Callithrix jacchus: one gene and its partners. The protein of the gene in region 2 binds, or shares a complex with, the protein of the main gene of each other region. Links are inferred from orthologs where the notes say so. Each region holds a gene or a part of one and is shown on either strand. Other genes may lie near its edges. The genes, in order: DROSHA, DGCR8 and ERH.

What was found.
Region 1: the proteins of DGCR8 (region 2) and DROSHA are in contact, whole or in part, in a crystal structure (PDB 5B16), measured with the Homo sapiens proteins. The link is inferred for Callithrix jacchus from reciprocal best matches to the Homo sapiens genes DGCR8 and DROSHA. Residues at the interface, in NP_073557.3 of Homo sapiens: Asn728, Ile731, Leu732, Lys734, Leu735, Gln736, Glu738, Met739, Lys740, Leu742, Ala743, Arg746, Arg750; in NP_001369437.1 of Homo sapiens: Leu984, Leu987, Phe988, Thr998, Tyr999, Thr1001, Ala1002, Ile1003, Gln1005, His1008, Phe1069, Asp1073, Leu1074, Glu1076, Val1077, Trp1078, Asn1080, Pro1082.
Region 3: the proteins of DGCR8 (region 2) and ERH are in contact, whole or in part, in a crystal structure (PDB 7CNC), measured with the Homo sapiens proteins. The link is inferred for Callithrix jacchus from reciprocal best matches to the Homo sapiens genes DGCR8 and ERH. Residues at the interface, in NP_073557.3 of Homo sapiens: Lys107, Phe108, Ser109, Pro110, Asp111, Leu112, Leu114, Leu115; in NP_004441.1 of Homo sapiens: Val8, Pro10, Thr11, Thr18, Tyr19, Ala20, Glu27, Lys34, Met35, His39, Arg42, Met43, Phe60, Leu64.

What each region holds. Positions count from the first base shown.
Region 1 is NC_133503.1:173,760,935-173,764,581, forward strand, and holds part of DROSHA (ribonuclease 3), read left to right. Parts: intron 1-22; 5' UTR 23-66; coding exon 67-86; intron 87-2,743; coding exon 2,744-3,577; intron 3,578-3,647. UniProt on the Homo sapiens protein: Ribonuclease III double-stranded (ds) RNA-specific endoribonuclease that is involved in the initial step of microRNA (miRNA) biogenesis.
Region 2 is NC_133502.1:211,882,141-211,885,787, forward strand, and holds part of DGCR8 (microprocessor complex subunit DGCR8), read left to right. Parts: intron 1-225; coding exon 226-332; intron 333-891; coding exon 892-1,019; intron 1,020-2,397; coding exon 2,398-2,511; intron 2,512-3,529; coding exon 3,530-3,613; 3' UTR 3,614-3,647.
Region 3 is NC_133509.1:104,385,853-104,389,499, reverse strand, and holds part of ERH (enhancer of rudimentary homolog), read left to right. Parts: intron 1-3,242; coding exon 3,243-3,363; intron 3,364-3,647. UniProt on the Homo sapiens protein: May have a role in the cell cycle.

The DNA of each region.
Region 1 (3,647 bases), on a different chromosome or scaffold from region 2:
TCATTCTTTCTGTTTTTTACAGCTCATATTCTCTGTAGAAGATGTGACATATCCAGGCAGTGCATCATGATGCAAGGCAGTACATGGTGAGTGTTGTGATGGGAATGGCAGTAGTTAGGAGAACAGAGAGAGGAACAAACATTGGTGCTGGCCTATAGAGGGTGGAAAGGATTTAGATACTTGGGGAGACAGGATAATATGCCCGTTCTTTCAGCAGTGGGCACAGTACAACAGAGGGCCATGCACAGGGCTAGAAAGCCAGACCAGAACTGTTAATGGAAATCCCAGAGCCTGCCTTGATAGCCCTTACAGTTCTGAGGTGCAGTAGACATTAAAGGTGGAATTAGGTCCTTAGTAGGTGGATTGTAATTATTGTAGGACCTGCTAAGAAGCAACAGAGAGTGTTGTGAGAACAAGGAACCTAACGAATCGTTGGGGGCAGTGACAGGGTTGTAGAAAGGCCAGCAAGGATATTATTGTAATAGTTATGCAAGAGATGATGATGTGAAGTAGATTAATTCAGGAAGTATTTATGAAGCAGAAACAATAGGAATTTTTGTTTATTTTTTATTAAGGGATAGTTGCCATATAAGTGATAGCAATTTTAAAATAAAATTTTAGCTAAGGATGGGGGGTGAGGGAGGACAAGTCAGGTGATTGATTCCCTGGTATATGTCTTAAGAACCATTAATGGTGTCATTTATTGAAATAGGAAATACTAGGAAAAGAGCAAATGTTTGTCTTGGAGGGAAAGGTAATTAATTTGTTTTAGCATATGTTATGTTGAATTTGCAGAGTCAGTGAGACACTCAAGGAGAGAGATCAGGTTGGCAATTAGTAGTGAGGGTCTGGAGCTCAGAAGTTGGGGGCTAAAGATGTAACTTTGGGAGTTACTGACAGATTGGTGGTAATTCTAGCAATGTGGGTAGGTAGTGTCACTTTGGAAGAGAGAGCGAGCAGAGCACCTGGGCTAGACCCCTGAAGAATACCAGACTGTTAAAGGCCCCCTAGCAGAGGAGAAGCTGGCATGAGGAACAGCCAGAGATGTAGGAAAGCCACAGTGAGGGTGTTATGTCAGGAAGCCAAGAAATGCATCCATGGGGGTGGGGGCTGGAGAGGCAAGCGGGGAGGAAACTGGACTGATCCAACAGAGATCAAGCAAGTTGATTGAAAATGACCTTTGGTTTTCAAGACGAGGTGAACACTGATCATGACACTCATTGGATTGGTGGCAGAAGCTGAAGTTGGATTAGAGTGAGTTGGAAGTGTATACGCTTTTGTCTTAGCTTGGGCTGCCATGACTAAATGCCATGGACTGGGTAACTTAAGCAGTAAACACTTATTTCTCACAGTTCTGGAGGCTGGCAGTCCAAGATCAGGGTGCCCGCACAGCCAGGTTTCGGATGCACGCCCTCTTCCTGCCTTGTAGGTGGCTGCCTTCTTGTTGTAGTCTCACTTGGCAAGGGGTGGTGGCGGGGATTTCTTTTCTCTTCCTCTCTCTGTAAGGGTACTAATCGCATCATAGTTGCATCTCAGATTTCCCACTTCTATATAGCATCACACTGGGCGTTAGGGTTTTCTCGGCATGAATTTTGGGGTGGACACCCGTAGGGTATTAGGGTTTCCTCAGCATGAATTTTCGGGTGGACAGAAACATTCAGTCTGCAGCCACTTTTTCTGGTCATTTGACTGTGAAGGGGAGGACACAGAAGGGGCAAAGACAAGGGAAACCTGGAGACCAAGGACAGTACTTTATGCTGGAGTAAACCCAAGCACTTTCAAATGCTGATGTGAAGGGTCTGGTGGTGGGGAGAGGTGGAAGATTGCAGTGGGAGGGTGGTAATCCCAAATATGCATTTGGAGATGGGATCCAGAGCACTTGTGGCAGGATAGGCTTTGTCAGGAGGAGGGAATTGGGAGAGGCTGGAATGGGATCCATTGTAGAAATGGTAGGAGAAGCTGAAGGAGTTCTTTTCTGATGGTTTTTGTGTTTCTGTTTGGTAGGAGACTAGTTATGTGTTGACTGTGAAGAGAGAATGGGATATGGGGCAGGGTCCTGAATGTTATCAGTAGTTATGGTGGGTAGTTCACCATGCCAGAGGAATGGGTTGGCAGAAGCCAGTGATCATGAATTTCTTTGGCCACCACCCTGCCCAGTCAGGTATTTTTCTATAGTACTACTTTCTGGTCAGCCTCCAGAAAGCAAATTATTGGGTTCTTTGAGGGCTGGGGTATTGCCAGCTTCTTGTGACTGAAGTAGAGCAGGGCAGAGGAGTGTAGGGTATTAAAAATGAATCATGGAGATGCCGATGCTGGGCAGTGGAGTCTGTGCTGAATGGAGAGGGAGGTGAAGATGGGAAGATGCTGGTGCAGATGTGCTTGGGACCGCCTATGGTGAGGTCAAGATCAGAGGGCAACTTGAGCAAAGGCATGATAGCAAATGGTTGAATAATGGGATGTTGAATTGCTCATTTTGGAAGTGGAGCAGCTTTCAGGAATGGTTGTTCCAGGGACTAAGCATGGCAGTGGGTTGGGTGGTCAAGAAAGGGGAAGAGGAGTTTATTGACCTTAAAGGGTTTCAGATGTTAGCAGGAACCCAGTATTGAATGGATGGAATATTCCAGTGCCTTCACTAGGGAGTCTTTGAGTTGCTCATGAAGATGGTCAGGCATTTATGAAATGCTGTTAACACAGTGAGGATTAAAAAAAAAAACTTCCTTTTTTTTTTTTTTCCACCATGAAGTCACAGAATGTCATTCCACCCAGGACGAGGATGTCCCCGAGGACGAGGAGGACATGGAGCCAGACCCTCAGCACCATCCTTTAGGCCCCAGAATCTGAGGCTGCTTCACCCTCAGCAGCCTCCTGTGCAATATCAATATGAACCTCCAAGTGCCCCTTCCACCACTTTCTCAAACTCTCCAGCCCCCAATTTTTTGCCTCCACGACCGGACTTTGTACCCTTCCCCCCACCTATGCCTCCGTCAGCACAAGGCCCTCTTCCCCCCTGCCCAATCAGGCCCCCTTTCCCCAACCACCAGATGAGGCACCCCTTCCCAGTTCCTCCTTGCTTTCCTCCCATGCCACCACCAATGCCCTGTCCTAATAACCCCCCAGTCCCTGGGGCACCTCCTGGACAAGGCACTTTCCCCTTCATGATGCCCCCTCCTTCCATGCCTCATCCTCCGCCCCCTCCGGTCATGCCGCAGCAGGTTAATTACCAGTACCCCCCAGGCTATTCTCATCACAACTTCCCACCTCCCAGTTTTAATAGTTTCCAGAACAACCCTAGTTCCTTCCTGCCCAGTGCTAACAACAGCAATAGTCCTCATTTCAGACACCTCCCTCCATACCCACTTCCAAAGGCTCCCAGTGAGAGAAGGTCCCCAGAAAGGCTGAAACACTACGATGATCACAGGCACCGAGATCATAGTCATGGGCGAGGTGAGAGGCATCGGTCCCTGGATCGCCGGGAGCGAGGCCGCAGTCCTGACAGGAGAAGACAAGACAGCCGCTACAGATCTGACTATGACCGAGGGAGAACGCCGTCTCGCCACCGCAGCTACGAGCGGAGCAGGTAAGCCACACGTGTGTATTTCTTAATGAACCTCAGGGGCCCAGGCACAGTCATTTTCCATTTGGCATGG
Region 2 (3,647 bases):
CATGGCCGGGTTTCCCTGGGTATACAGCAGCCCTGTGGCCCTGGCCACCAGTCAGTCCTGCAGGCCTGAATTGGGTGTGTGGACAATTTCCTCCGGGTAAGAAGCATTCTGGGGAGAGGCTTGCTTTTTTCCTCAGCCTTTAAGGGCTTCCCAGAGCAGCCCTCCTCAGAGGCCACTGGCTGCTCTGCTCAGGGGATGCCACCTGTTTTCTGTTTTTTCTTAAAGAAACCATGGAATGGGTGACACGTCTATCAAGTTTGAAGTGGTTCCTGGGAAAAACCAGAAGAGTGAATACGTCATGGCGTGTGGCAAGCACACAGTGCGAGGGTGGTGTAAGGACTCCTTCCCTGCTGCCTGGTGGCTGCCGGGGGGTGATGCCAGGCGGGTTGCCCCTGGTGTGGCCCTGTGCCTCTCTGGCTTGCTCCCAGCTGTTGCTCTGGCATCGTCCCTAAGTCCAGCTATGTGTGCTGGCCACCACACATTCAGCCTAAGGTGGACTGGTGGCTGTCCTGCCTGTACTTTTTCTGTCTTCTCCCTTCCCCTCCTGTCACCCCTCTCTTTGGCCAGCCCCTGTCCCTGTGGCAGGAGGAAAGGCCCTTCTCCTCAGACAGCCAGCAGAATCCTGCTGCTCCCTGTGTCTTGGCGGGAGTGAAGCTCTTGGCTGTGTGTCTTTGGTTGTGCTCTCAGCTCCTGGACTCTTAGGGGCCACTCTCAAGGTGGCAGCTGGGTGCTGTGAGACTCAGGTGCCTAGAGCAGTGGCAGAGTGCTGTCTGTTCCTGTAAAATGTGCCCTGGCTGGCCATCGGGGTGTGGATCAGGAGGGCTAGGGGTGTCCCATGAGCACTGGGTGTTGATGACCCCTTCTCTCCAAGCTTGCTCTTTCTCTGTGTAGGTAAGAACAAAAGAGTTGGAAAGCAGTTAGCCTCACAGAAGATCCTTCAGCTGCTGCACCCACATGTCAAGAACTGGGGGTCTTTACTGCGCATGTATGGCCGTGAGAGCAGCAAGATGGTCAAGCAGGTAACTGGCCCTCATCAGGTCGCAGGGCAGCCTGTACTGCCACCCTGGAGTGTGTTACTGGGGCTCTGTGCTCAGAGGGGCAGGGCTGGGCAGCTCTGCTCTTGCTTACAGCTGCCTTTCTCCTGGGCTACTTGTGTGGTTTTGTGGGCAGGGGGTGGGGTCATCCCAGCTACATCTCCCATCCCAGTCTGCTGGGAATGGTCAGTGAAGTGTGGGTGATTGGGAACGCAACCTGGGCCCAGCTATGTGGGTCATAGGGAGATGGCTGAAGTGCAAGGCAGCGCTGGGCAGGCCCGGCCTGGAGGTGTGCAAAGGCTCAGGTGCCAGGCCCAGTCCTTCCTGCTTGAAGGAGAGCGAGTGTGTCAGGGCAGCTGTCCCTGGTACTAGTGCCAGTCCAGCTCTAAAAGAGCATATGTGTGCCATCTGTCTTGTTTCTGCTGTTCTGGCCAAGATCTTGCAATGTACTCCAGTGCTCGCTCGCTCCTTAGGGGTGGAGGGAAACATGGGGAGGTGAGTGTTCACCTTCCTCATTTCCCCCAAATGACTATAGAAGCTCTCTGGGTTCTGGCCATCTTGGTCAGTGGAATGGGAAGTAGATGTGGAGGGGTGGGGGCTGCATGTGGGGTGGCCCTAGGACTGTGTGGTGGGTAGACCCTGTGTCCAAGGGTGAGGGCGTCTATGCAGGCCACCAGGGCGTGTTAAGCAACTTGAGGAGAGACATTTTTGGGAAGCAAGTTGGAAATGTAGGTAGTGTTTGCTTCTGCCTTTGCTGTGTGTAGTCCTTGGCTCTGACGGAGGGAGAGAAGGCAAGCCTTACTTGGGCCCCAGGGTGGGAAACTTCTCTAAGCAGGAGTGGAAAAGTCCCAGCCTGGCACAGCCACAGCTGTGGGGAATGCTGGCATCCCGCGGAACTGTAGCACCCTCGGGGCTGGCCTGAGATAGGAAGGGGCTGAGGCCAGCCTGATGCTGCTCTGCAGTCACGGAATGTGCAGAGAGTGAGCTCAGGGCCGGGGGCTGCCGGGATGGGCTGCAGCTGTTCTGCCAGTGTGCTGTTCCTCCTGGCTGCAGCCGTGCTCTGGTTTCTCTCCTTGATGAGGGCTCTGAGTACTATGAGCACCTGACCTCCCTGCTCTGCCCAGGGCAGAAAGTAAGCCCAGTGGCTATGGACTGCCCCTTGTCCTCTGCTGCTGTCAGCAGGCCTGGCATCACTGAGACGGGCAATCAGCCTGCAGTCGTGTGGCCATAGCTCCTGGCTGTTTCGTGTCTGCCAGGCCCTGGGAGCACCTGCCTTCAGGGTCCCAGGCATACAGCTGCTGGGCAGGGGGCAGGCCACGGAGCTATAACCTGCAGTCTGAGTGTGAGGTGCTGTGCTTCCCAGGAGACGTCGGACAAGAGCGTGATTGAGCTGCAGCAGTATGCTAAGAAGAACAAGCCCAACCTGCACATCCTCAGCAAGCTCCAGGAGGAGATGAAGAGGCTGGCCGAGGAGAGGGTGAGTGCCACCCTAGCGGAGGGCTTCCCGGCCATGGCCATTCCTGTGGCAGCTGTGGAGGGACAGTAGACCCCAGGACCTGTGCCTGAGCGGACACCTTGGAAATGCTTGGATCCTCCTTCCAAAATCAGATACAGGCTTGGTTTTGAGCTTCAACATGTATGAGTTTCACAAGTCACTTCAGTTTTGGTTCTGTTGTTAGAGAGCTGGCAGGCCAGCCTGGTGGACCATGAAGGTCACGGCCTTGGTGGGCCTCCTGGGTCCCATGTCTACACTGGGTTTTTGGAGATAGGTCAGTGTGCCTGCCAAGGTAGAATCTGTAGGGCTTGGTCCTGATGAAGCCTCCTACAGCCACCTTTGGGAACTGCACTCCAAGAGCGGCCTGTCAGGCTGGTAGTGTTGTCTTCTGTCCTCAGGTATCATCTGTGTGGCCACAGCATGACCCGCCCACCTGGGCCTTCTTTGTGGGGAGCTTTCTTAAGTGTGGTAGTCCCCTAGCCTGAGTGATAGTCCTAGAAGGTGTCTGCTGCCGTCCAGGCCAGCAGGTCCCTCGCTGCTCCCTGGGGTGGGGCTTGGCCTCCTGGAGCCAGTGAGACTGCCTGGTCTGCCCCTAGTCAGAAGAGGGTCTGTGGGGCTGGAGGGCAGCAGGCACAGGACACAGTGCCCCTGGCTGGGCCTGAGGGAAGCAAAGGTTGGGCAAGGGAGAAACACCTAGTGGGAAGGCCTGGCCTGTCATTGTAACTGCACCCAAAATTCTTCACTTCTTGGTATGTGTCCCGATTACCAGGGAGGCTGCACACACCATGCTCTGATGGCAATCTAGGGGGCCTCCAGGCTGCAGACTCAGCATGGCCTGCCTCAGGCCTTGCCTGTTCCTCCCAGCCTGGCATCACAAGCACTGGTGCCCTTGGGGCTGCAGGGCCTCCTGAGTCTTCTGGGCTCCCCCTCCACCCTGTGCCCTCCCAATCCTCTACTGAGCCCACCTCAGCGGCACCCCTGGCCTTTGTTGTTCTTTCAGGAGGAGACTCGGAAGAAGCCCAAGATGTCCATTGTGGCGTCTGCCCAGCCCGGCGGCGAGCCTCTGTGCACCGTGGATGTGTGAGGGAGGTGGCATGGGCCAGGGCACGGGGGCTGCC
Region 3 (3,647 bases), on a different chromosome or scaffold from region 2:
TGTGGTTTTAATTTGCATTTCTCTGATGATTAGTTTGATGATCATTTTTTCATGTGTTAACCACTTCTTTTGAAAAATGTCTGCTTATATCCTTTGGCCACTTTTGAATGGAACCATTTGTTCTTTTCTGGTTGAGTTGTTTGAATGACTTAGATTCTAGATGCATAGTTTACAAATATTTTCTCCCATTTCTTTTTTTTTTTTTTGAGGTGGAGTCTCACTCTGTTGCCCAGACTGGAGTGCAGTGGTGCAACCACAGCTCACTGCAACCTCCGCCTCCCAGGTTCGAGTGATTCTCCTGCCTCGGACTCCCAAGTAGCTGGGATTACAGGTGTGTGCCACCACACCCAGCTGATTTTTATATTTTTAGTAGAGACTGGATTTCACCATGTTTGCCAGGCTGGTCTCGAACTCCTGACCACAGGTGAGAGCGACTGCACCCAGCCTACTTTTTTCTGTGGGGCTTAGAGTTTGGGCTCCTACTTTTAGGTCTTTGGTCTGTTTTAGGGATGTGTCCAACTTCATTCTTTCACATGTGGCTATCCAGTTGTCATAGGGCCATTTGTTGAAAAGAACATTCTTTCTTGAATTCTCATGCTTGTCAAAAAGCATTGACCATCAATGTGGGGGTTTGTTTCTAGACTCTCATTCCGTTGATCTATATACCTTTCCTTATGCCAGTACCACATTGTCTTGATTACAGTAGTTTCCTAGTAAGTTTTGAAATCAGGAAGTTTGAATCCTCCAGTGTTGTTGTTCTTCAAGATAAGTTTGAGTTTCCTGGGTCTCCTGCATTTCTGTGTCAAGTTTAGGATTAGCTTGTTGGTTTTTGCAAAAGCAGCTTGGATTTGTATAAGAATTGCATCGAATCTGTAGATCATTTAGGGGAGTATTGCCATCAGGTCTTCCAACCCATGAACATGGGAATGTGTTCACACCTGTCATCCTAGGACTGTGGGAGGCCAAGGTGAGCGGATTGCTTGAGCCCAGGAGTTTGAGACTAGCCTGGGCAACGTGATGAAATCCCTGCTTTACAAAAAGTATAAAAATTAGCTGGGCATGGTGGCGCTAACTGTAGTCCCAGCTCCTTGGGAAGATCACTTGAACTTGAGAGGTCAAGTCAGCAGTGAGCTGTAATCAGGCCACTGCACTCCAGCCTGGGCGACAGAATGAGACCCTGTCTCAGGATTTAAAAAAAAAAAAAAAATTGTTCCGTGACATTTTATAGTGTAGCATGTACAAGTTGTGCATTTCTTTTATTATGTTACATTTATTTCTAAGAACTTTATTCTTTTTTATGCTGTTATAAATGAAGTTTTCTTAGTTTGATTTTCAGATTTGCTAAGGTGTAGAAACAGAATTTATTTTCATACACTGATCCTATATCCTGCACCCTTGCCGTACTCATTTTTTAATTCTAATAGGTTTCTTATTGTTTCCTTGGGATTTTCTATCTACAAGATAATGTAGATTATCTGCAAATAGTGATAGCTGTACTTCTTCCAATCTAAAGTCCTGTTTTCTCTTTTTCTTGCCTAATTGCCCGGCTAGAACTTCTATTACAACGTTGAATACAAGTAGCAACAGTAAATATTTTAGGATTCTTCCTAATCTTAGCAGTAAAGCATCCAGTCTTTAACCATTAAGTGTGATGGAGGCCAGGCGCAGTGGCTCACGCCTGTAATCCCAGCACTTTGGGAGGCTGAGGCAGGTAGATTACCTGCAGTCAGGACTTAGAGACCAGACTGGCCAACATGGTGAAACCCTCTCTCTACTAAAAATACAAAAATCAGCTAGGCATGGTGGCACACGCCTGTGATCCCAGCTATTCGGGAGGCTGAGGCAGGAGAGTCGCTTGAACCCGGGAGGCAGAGGCTGCAGTGAGCCAAGATTGCACCACTGCACTCCAGCCTGGGTGACAAGAGTGGAAATTCCGTCTTAAAAAAAAAAAGTATGATGCTAACTATGGGTCAATTCCTTTTAAGACATGTGAATTTATTTTCCTAGTTTTTTCTTTCCATTTATTAACTCATGTTTGATATTCTGTGATCACAGTGTAGTATGCCAGTAGCGATCAAAAACACTAAGATAGTTGTTTGATAGTTCTGTGGTTGAATAGTATTTTTATTAGGAAATTTAAAAGGTTAATTTGGAGCTAATAAAGGGCCTTTGTACTGTACACAGTATAGGACGTGTATTTGCTAGATAACTAGCATTTATGTCACTTATCCATTCATTGTGGTAGTCTTAAATAGTTGACAGCGGGGATAGACTGAAAAGATATATTCTCCTTTTGTGGGAATAAGAAAGGAGAATATCATTGAATAAAAACTTAATAGATAATGTACTCTATAGATAATTATAGTTAGTAATGTGGGCTTGCTATTAATGATTCTGCTCATCTTTTTTATTATTTTGAGTACTTACATGCTTGTTTGTGTGCTGATGCTTTATGTGCATTATTTCAAATAAACCTCACAATTCTATGAAGAGGCACTCTTAACTCTGTTTGACAGGTGTGGTTTAGGGAATGGAGTCATTTGTCCACGGTTTGACAGAAGCAGAGCTGGAACTCAAGTCTGTCTGCATCCATAGTCCAGGATTACTTGGACTTAAATTACCACATTGCTACAATAGAATGATTAAATAACCACATTAGAATAATCTCTTTCTTTGTTGCCAATTTCTAATGTGGTTTTTTTTTTTTTTTTTTTTTGGCTTCAGAAAGAATTACTGACCCTTAGCTCCAATGGTTTGAAGTAATCATTTTATTATTAAGACACAAAATAGTTACACCACCATTGTGGTGAAGACTGGAGTGCAGTGATGCGGACATGGCTTACTGCAGCCTTGACCTCCAGGGCTCAAGTGATCCTCCCACCTCAGCTTCCCAAGTAGCTGGGACCACAGGCACATGCCATCATGCCTGGCTGAGTTTTAAATTTTTGTAGACATGAGGTCTCTCTATGTTGCCCAGGCAGGCTGGTCTTAAACTGCTAGGCTCAAGTGATCCTCCTGCTCAGCCTTCCAAAGTGCTGAGATTACAGGCATAAGCTACTGCACCCGGCCGGCTGAATTTATAAAAAACTATTTGCTAGTGGCAATAATCAAAAGCCATCAATCTACCATCTTTTCCCCAGCCCAACTTTATTAAAGTAAATATGATATCGACATATAGCACTACTCATATCTAGAAGTTTATGTGATTGTAAGATTTTGGTTTTTGTCCTATCCTTCCTTAGGCGTTTGTAAAATGTATGAAGAACATCTGAAAAGAATGAATCCCAACAGTCCTTCTATCACATATGACATCAGTCAGTTGTTTGATTTCATTGATGATCTGGCAGACCTCAGCTGCCTGGTGTAAGTATTAGCAAACATGTCTGTTATCTTGTGTTTTTTAATGTTTTTCTGTCTGTTTGAGGTGATTTATGGTATTGGGAGCTAACACATGCCTGACACTGATCTTTGCATTTGCATAATGTTTAGTAATTAATATTTCTCTTACAGAAATAAGATATTGGCAATATAAAGCCAAAGGCACAGAAAAAAAAGAACTTTGCTAATTGATATAGTTAGTATCCAGAAAGGATGCTAATTAAGAAGTTCCATGTCCCTGTTCTTTGTTCCTTATACCTAATAATTTT